2 linked regions of the Oryzias latipes genome follow. The protein of the gene in region 2 binds, or shares a complex with, the protein of the main gene of each other region. Links are inferred from orthologs where the notes say so. Each region holds a gene or a part of one and is shown on either strand. Other genes may lie near its edges.

Region 1 (4,213 bases), on a different chromosome or scaffold from region 2:
AGCCTTTGGGTTTCACTTGAATAGCAAAGTTTGACAAACATCTCAATAAATAAATATTTTATTTTTGCCCATTTAGTTGTTGTTTCACAGCAGTTTGGGTTGTGCATATATTCAGGCATAATTTTTAGCTCAGGGGCTATTTTTGACCACTTCATCAAAACCTGCAATATTTGGGGCACAACATGCAATTCTGCAATCAATGTAAAACCTTGTATCCACTTCTGCAAGCCGAGTGCTTGGGGCTGGGGTCGAGGTTTGTAAAAATATGGCTTTTGAGGTTTGAATTTCATCACTCAGTTCAAATACTTTACAGACATAAACAAACAGTTAAGTTAACCTATTCCTATACCTTTAAATTCTTTGTATCAGTCACCAGGAACCCTAAAAAAATTACATTTACATCAAAGGATATTTTATAAATTAAAGTGTGTAGTGAGAAGATAATAAAGGACTTGCCAACATGTGTACATTTATATAAATGGGCATCTGTTATGGAAGCACAAACATATGCCAGCACAATGTTGGTTATAGTAAAGATTTACAAAATTACAGACAAATTTATATCAATATTATGACTGAACATAAAAATGAAAAACCTACTTAATACTGTTCTGCTTTAATATGATTTTTGGTTCTACAATACATTGTAGTGTTAATTTTTGACATGTTACCTTCAATTTGTATTGAAGAAAATAAAAATAGAGTTTAAGTGCACAACTATACCTTTCTTGTAAGCACAGCCCTGGCAGTAGTGCGATCCAGGCTGATGAACAGAGCTCTTGCAGATTCTGCAGATGGCAAAGCCCGTCTTACTGTAAGGGTCGAACCTGAGAAAAACCACAGTTAAACATTGAGAATTAGCAACATCAAAGAACCTTAACAGCAAAATAAACCACTAGTGCTTACAGAAAGCTAGAAACTACTACACTGCCATTTGATTTATGAGTAAAAGTTTTTTCACAGTGCAATACTCACCTGGCCTTCTTAGATGTCAACATCTTGTTTTCATTTAGTTTACGGCCTCCACTCTCTAAGAAAAATAAAACAACATTGTGAGATTATATATACACATGTATGTACATACATACATACCAGTGGCGATTTCTTTAAGACTGCAAGGGAAGCTCTGCTTCCCTTATAATGTCACAAAATAAATGGTCAAATATGTACTATTGTATTGTATTGTATTTTATTTTATTAACATTTTATTGACTAAAAATGTGTAAGAAAACGTTCATCTCAAAGACGAGTTCGTTAAGAATCAGTTACATATAGCAAGTCGCCTGACTCGATTTCCTTCTCATACATTCCCGCAGCATCACAGTGCATTTCTCTAAAGAAGCCCAGCGTCCATTGACTTCAATCGGGCTGCTTTGAACATTTTTTTTCTGCGCTTCGAAACTAGATGGTCATTGGATAAACGCTGTGATTATGTCCCGCCAACGGATGCTCAGCGTCTCTGGGGGTGAGTGGGGAGTGGGCCAGCCCAAACTCCGAGCTTCTCCGTGATGATTGAAGGGTCTGTTAAAAGACCGCCTTCTGACTGAAGCTTTTCGCTTATTCACATTTCTCAAGTTCAGTCGAACTAAAAACTGCTGCAACCTATTTCTTTGATAATTGCTGGGCTAAATTGCTTGATTTTCATCATACATTTCACACAATTATACACCACATTGATTGTTTCAGTTTTACAGAGTTTAATATTTTTTTTTAGATAGTTAATTCTTCCCTTTGATTCAGGAAGACTGAGGTCAGAACTTCAAGTCCTGTTTTCAGATCAGGACTTGCAGGGTAACAGGGGAAAGCTGTATGATTACTTGGTGTTCCTTAAAGACATGGAGTTGGACAGTCCAATGCCTCAGCTTTACAAACTGTTCTCATTAGTGGCAACAATTGGAGTTACATCTGCAGGTGTAGAAAGGAGCTTCTCCTGTTTAAAGTGACTTAAGTCCTACACCCGAAACACAATGGGCTAAGGCTGTTTAAGCAGCCTAGCTCTGCTGGCCATTGAGAGGACATTGGTCAAGTCAGTTGAGACACCTAGTTGGTACGACAGGGTCACAGACCATTTTCTTGAAAAGGAACGTAGGGCATAAATACTTTTAAATAAATAGACAATTTTATGATGTAGGCCGAAAATGAGCCGACAGACAGACCGACAGACAGACAGACCGACCGACCGACCGACCGACCGACGGGGAAAACAGATATGTAAATGAGTACTGTTCTAATAAATATTTTAGCAGTAGCTTCTCCTTCCATCGTTTCGATTCCTTAATGACGTTCATTTACAAGACAGATTTTTTGGGGGCAACATATTTATTTTACCTGTCGTTCCACGATTGTCTAAATTATTAAACGTGTAAACATTTTTGGATGTTTTTGGATAGAGACTACGTTACCAGTCGTATTTCGTGCTCCATCCTTCCAAGTGTCAGGAGTGATGACCTTTCCGAGCTTCTTTTCGCCTAAAATATTAGGAAATCCCACATTAACAAAGAATTATTAATAATTAACAAAGCTAACTACGAGCAAGGAAAACCAAAACAAATGCTAGCATAACAAAATATTAGCCACTCAACAAAACAACAAAAATGTCACTAACTAACTATATTAACTAAGTCATAAGTGTAAAATTATGTAAGAAACAAGGCGAAAGTGCGATATTTACATTTTTCACAAACCATCTCAGCTGCGTTTACTTGGCCTGTCTTGATATAAAATGTGTACAAGCGTTCAAGCTAGCTCTGCTCATGTAACTTCCGGTTGTCTTCGTCAACTTGTACAAACAAATCTCATTGGGTAATCCTGTCAGTAAAACGTTATGTGATTCGTTCACTCCGACTAGAAGCGCATTTCTAAAATCCAGAATAAAAGTAAAATGAGAGTAACAATATTTTCGCCACGGAATCAGCACTCGAAAATATAAATTTCACTTTAGAAAATAGTATTTTATTATAAAGTGTTGAATATGATTTAAATATGTTGGGTAATGTATGTCAAAACAAAGAAATTGGTAGAAATTAACAATCAAAAGAGAATCTTCTGTTTTATTGTGAAACGCAAACGGAAATTGCTTTTTTTTTTTCATATTTACGGAAGCGTAGTCATACATGGATTTGCGTGTCCTTTCGCCTACCAAAATTCTAAGACACCTCTACTGAAATTATCTACATTATTCTATTGTCTTGTTGTGAAAAGTGAAAGTCTTCATCATGTGGGACCACGAAATCAGAGCCATGGTGTCGACCCACGCTCTGATCGCCGCTTCGATGTTCATGGCTACGGTGCTACCTGCAGTTTTTGTTCTAAGCTTCTCGGTGTACGGCACTCACCTGTTGTGGCTGTACTGCACATCCGGTGCTGTGAATGCTGTCAGTGTCGTCGTCTTCTGGCTCCTCGGCGTCACACCGTCCACTAAAAAAAATACACTTGGATATAAGGTCAGAATGTCTTCCCTCGGAAATGTCTTTATTTTGTCCAAACCCAAAGAAATGTGCTTGATTTGTTTAAGGTTTTTGCCAAATAGTCATACGTATATGAGAGAAGTATCAGAAATAATTATTACACAATTTAAAATAATAGAAAACTAGGTTTTTCAAAACAATTAATTCCTATTATTTACTCGTAAACGTTTTGTCTCGTTTTTAAAAAACAAATTTGCAAATGGACGTTTCAGTAATAATTAGAAATGTGTATTTCTGATTTGAACACATTTTTAATTGAGTTTATAAACATTTGCTACAGTGCTTTATTTTCACGTTAAACATTTTAAATTCATATGACAGTCTATATGCAATTGTTGCTTATTAACATTTTTCTGCTACAACAAACTCATATAAAAAAATAATTTTTCTGAGCTTTTACATATAAAAATTGTTCATTTTTTAAGTGGATTTTTCTCAAATGTCTACGTTGTAACTTTTTGGTAATAATGATAATCCTGTTTCTTTCCACAGCTTTCCAGGCTGTTTCGTGCCTGTCTGTACTTTTTCTTGTCATGTCTGTTCTTCCACACTGTGATTGTCCTTTATGGAGCCCCGTTGATTGAGTAAGTCTATTAGAAAAAAATCTTTGAAATTGTTTTTAAAATGTATCTGTAAAAAAGGGCAGATGTTTTCTGCATGCAGACAACTTTAGTGCATTCTCCTCTGTTTGACCAAATCAGATTTTTTTTTTTTTTTTTTTTGCAAAACTGTACCTAATATAGTGA
Region 2 (3,890 bases):
GGAATGCACACATATTTAGCCCATAAGGCCTGTCTTTTCTCCCCCCCTGCAGACTGCTTTCATATGTATGACTTGAAAGGCAGCGGATTTATCACGAGAGACGACATTTTTCTCTTGCTGAAGGACAGTTTCCATCTGCGGCTTGAAGAGGAAGGCAGAGAAGACGACTATCAAGATGAACAGGATGAGATCAACGAACTGATGGAAATTGTCCTCAAAAAAATGGTGAGATGTTGCCCTCCCATCTGCCTTTGTCACATTTGGATCGATGTTGATTGTAAGAATTTTGTCTTGATGTGTGCAGATTTATTTTGGTAACATGCCAACATTGCTTCCTGTGATTCCACAGGACCACGACAAAGACGGCAGGCTGTCTTTTCAAGATTTTGAGAAGTCTGTAAAAAAGGAGGAGCTACTCCTTGAAGCCTTTGGAAGCTGCCTGCCCAATTTCAGGGTAATCACAACCAAAAGTTGCTGAGCTTAAAAATATTGTAAGGATCTATTTAACTTAAATCTTTCTTTTTAGACAAAGAAGAAGTTTGAGCAGCAAGTACTGGAAAAGCAGCAAGATGAATAATAAAATATGAAGTGCAAGCGGTGTTCAACTTTGAGACTTTCATGAAAGAAAAAGCCAAAATGTTTTTCTTAAAGTACAATTTTATTTTAAGTTGAGCCTTTCAACGTTAGTTTTGATAAATATGGACAGTCGTCACTAAAACAGAATGGATCATATCCGACGGCGTGGCTTAACCTTCTTCTCCGCTGGTTTGAGGTCTGGGACCGATGTCACCTAGGAATGAATGAAAAGAATGAGACTGAAATGCACCAATATGGCATCATGTCAAGCTCTAATTCTCATTAAAAAAAAAATAAAAGACTACCTGCTTCATTGTGCCCCTGATCAGATTTACTGTTGTGTTTAGCGACTGATCATTCATGTCCAGCTTATGTGGTTCTGGTAGTTTTGGTCCAATCAAAGACGGTTCTCCAGAATCAGGCACTGGCTGTTTTGTGGCCTCCTCCATTTTGCGGCGTTTGTTCTTTTCCAAATGTGCAGTTCTTGGAACAAGCTTGACGGAAGAATCTGGGTTGGAGGCCAATTTTTTTTCGGAATTAGGGTCTTTACTGAAAGAGCTAAAGTTCTGGACTTTCTGCTGTTTTACGTCAGGAGGCACTGCGTCATGTAAAGTCCCCATTTGATCTTCTGTTGGTTCGTTCCCACGATAATCCTGATGAAAGTATTCCTGCGGGGGTAAAGGCAGTAGAGGAAATCCGGAACAATGGCTGAAGCTTGAAGTCTCGCCTGTTTTGTCACTATTGAAGATTGGATTATTTGTAGCAAAAACTCTGCTTGATGTGGGAACGCTTTCTGAAGACGTAGATTCCATGTGTACCGCATCCGCTACTCTTTCTTTTGCTGTATAAACATGAAACAGATAAATGACACTCATCAAATTCTTTATCTATACTTTAAACTTACAAAACAACAAAAAACATTTGATTTCAGATAAAAATACACAAAAAAAATTTTTTAATCACAGTTTTTTTTCATTGAACTTTTAAAAAACAATTACCTAAGAAAAAAAAGATTCAGTGCTTTTCAACACCGTATATCGTCAAAATGCGATAATACCTCTACTCCGAGCCACTTTCAGAACATAACTTCTCCTGTCCTGCAGCTTTAACTTGGTGTCTTCCACAGACTCGTACTCCGGGACGTAACACACATGCAGCACGCCGCCATAGAAACTCTTCTCATCCATGTTACGTTTCGCCGCTCTGGAACATCAAATATCAACCTGAATGACATATTTTTCAGCATTTCTGGTTTAGGGCAGTACAGTTAAGGTGCCCGCCATACCTAGCACTTGTCAGTTTTTGAAACTTGACCAGGTAGACTTCTGTGAACTCCTCAGCAGGATACTCGTCCAGCGGTCTGTATTCCTCCACTGTTCCATAAAGAGCACACAACTGGATCAGCTCCTCCATCACTCCAATAGCGGGGACTCCCTGGATCATCACATAACGGGACTCTAAATTTATTGTGTAGACCTGGCAGATACAAAGGCATGGTTATTAGTATATGTGAGGCTGTTGACGTGACCAATAAAAATCAATTAACTTAAAGACATAATCATCAGATCTGATGTACTTTCCTGCAACTCAGAAATCCAGTCTACTGTATTAGAAATTTGATTTTTATGGTTTATTAATTACAATTTTTTCGAAATGACTCAAACTTTTTACCATGTCTTTTATTTAATTTTATTTATTTATTTTTGCCAAAACGACAGTTTTATTTGTTTTTTTAAGACCTGCCGTTGGTCTTTTATTTATCACTTGCTGTGTGACTACAATTTATACTTTTTTCTTCCAGTTAAAAAAAAAGATTTTAAAATTTTCTCTTACATTCTTAAATGTAAAAATAAAACCAACTTACACATAATTATTAGCTCGTCGCTTGCGTCAACACAGACCGTCTTTGCTACAAACATTAGAAACGTTTTTCTTACCTTGACTGCTTTAGCTCTCCTTCCATCTCTATATTTGGGTCTAGAAAAACATGCGTTGTGTTGTTCGTGATGTTTGTAGACTTCTGGGACCTTCCAACAACCAGGTTTACTGTTGACATTTGCCGCCATGTTTGCTGAAACGCGTTTCCGCTTTGGTGGCATTTCAAAACAAGAGTTCATTCCGTTGTGCAGAGCACTCAACGTGTAGTGTTGACGACGTGGCAGTCTTATTTTGAAATGATCGATTCCATCGACAATCGACTGTTTTGTCTGGATCAGTTCTCTCATTCATCGAAATGTTTGTTGCACTTTGGCCGTTAGCGCACCAGCATGTTAAGCACTTTAAATGCTAAAATAGCGATGTAAACGTCATGTTTAGCAACCAGGGAATTCAACCAGTATGTGTTGTTTTTAACAACACTAAAAACTGCTTTATTCAACTCTCTTCAAAGCTGATATCGCACCTTTCTCTGAATGAGGTAAAGTATTAGCTAATTACTTAACATCGCTTCAGTTTTGTTGCATAAAGTTTACTGAATAATGACTGCTTTTGTGTTTTACACATTGCTGGTTTGTTTCTCTGACATTACAAGGGGACCTTTGGTTGCATTTAAGGTTTTAGTTTTTCTTAATTAAAACTTATAACAAAAGCAGAGCATTTTTTTATTATCACGTGTACTTAATTAGTATTAGGAAGTAATGCAAGGCAACAAAAAATGAATTGTTGGTAAAAATAGAAATTGGGCATCAAATACTGTCCTCATTCAGGGGTCTTTAGTCTAAAGGAAACTGCATTGTTTTGATTTTTAACACATTAACTCCTAGAAATAGTTTAATTTAGAAAAGGTTGATTATTATAATAACTAATGTGATCATCTCAATATTTCTATATTTTGCTACCACACCTGTGGAATATTTTTGCAATTTTTTAATTTAATTCTTCTGCTGAGCATAAAATCTGAAATGTATGTAATGATACAAAATGTACAAGAATAAAAACTAATAAAGGTATCACAAGTATCTAACATTCATAAAGTTGGAATCATAATTTCGACATCCGCTTTAAGAGACCATTCTGTGTCTTATTTCATCGTCTCTCTTTGGCCGGTCCGTTTTAGAATCAGGCTTTGGAGCTGTCTTGGGACGGCGGGTCGACAGTGTTCCTTAGCTGGTGTCCCATCAGAGCCTCCTTAGGAGCAGACAGCCACAGAGTGGAGTTGTCTCGGCAGCTTGGAGAAAAGCTCGGTTTGACTGATGGAGAACAGGTAAAGACCTTGGTTTCTTCCTTTAGGTCATCAACTGGGACGAACACTGCCTGTGCAACAGTCTCTTAACATTGGTCTGACATTGAGTGGTTTTCACAGTGTTTTCTCAGAC

The links.
Region 1: rbm48 (region 2) and cript share a complex: the UniProt entries of both Homo sapiens proteins name them as parts of the minor spliceosome. The link is inferred for Oryzias latipes from reciprocal best matches to the Homo sapiens genes RBM48 and CRIPT.

Annotation. Positions count from the first base shown.
Region 1 is NC_019877.2:12,480,875-12,485,087, forward strand, and holds the start of cript (cysteine-rich PDZ-binding protein), read right to left. Parts: upstream 2,801-4,213; 5' UTR 2,688-2,800; coding exon 2,672-2,687; intron 2,469-2,671; coding exon 2,403-2,468; intron 1,031-2,402; coding exon 976-1,030; intron 828-975; coding exon 724-827; intron 1-723. Other genes in the region: pigf (phosphatidylinositol-glycan biosynthesis class F protein), read left to right, coding at 3,216-3,443, 3,960-4,051. UniProt on the Homo sapiens protein: As a component of the minor spliceosome, involved in the splicing of U12-type introns in pre-mRNAs. Involved in the cytoskeletal anchoring of DLG4 in excitatory synapses.
Region 2 is NC_019869.2:21,761,816-21,765,705, reverse strand, and holds rbm48 (RNA-binding protein 48), read right to left. Parts: upstream 2,691-3,890; 5' UTR 2,676-2,690; coding exon 2,514-2,675; intron 2,053-2,513; coding exon 1,862-2,052; intron 1,780-1,861; coding exon 1,634-1,779; intron 1,418-1,633; coding exon 882-1,417; intron 876-881; exon of another isoform or gene 791-875; coding exon 728-790; 3' UTR 638-727; downstream 1-637. Other genes in the region: efcab1 (EF-hand calcium-binding domain-containing protein 1), read left to right, coding at 53-225, 350-454, 527-577; pex1 (peroxisome biogenesis factor 1), read left to right, coding at 2,885-2,992, 3,632-3,778, 3,878-3,890. UniProt on the Homo sapiens protein: As a component of the minor spliceosome, involved in the splicing of U12-type introns in pre-mRNAs.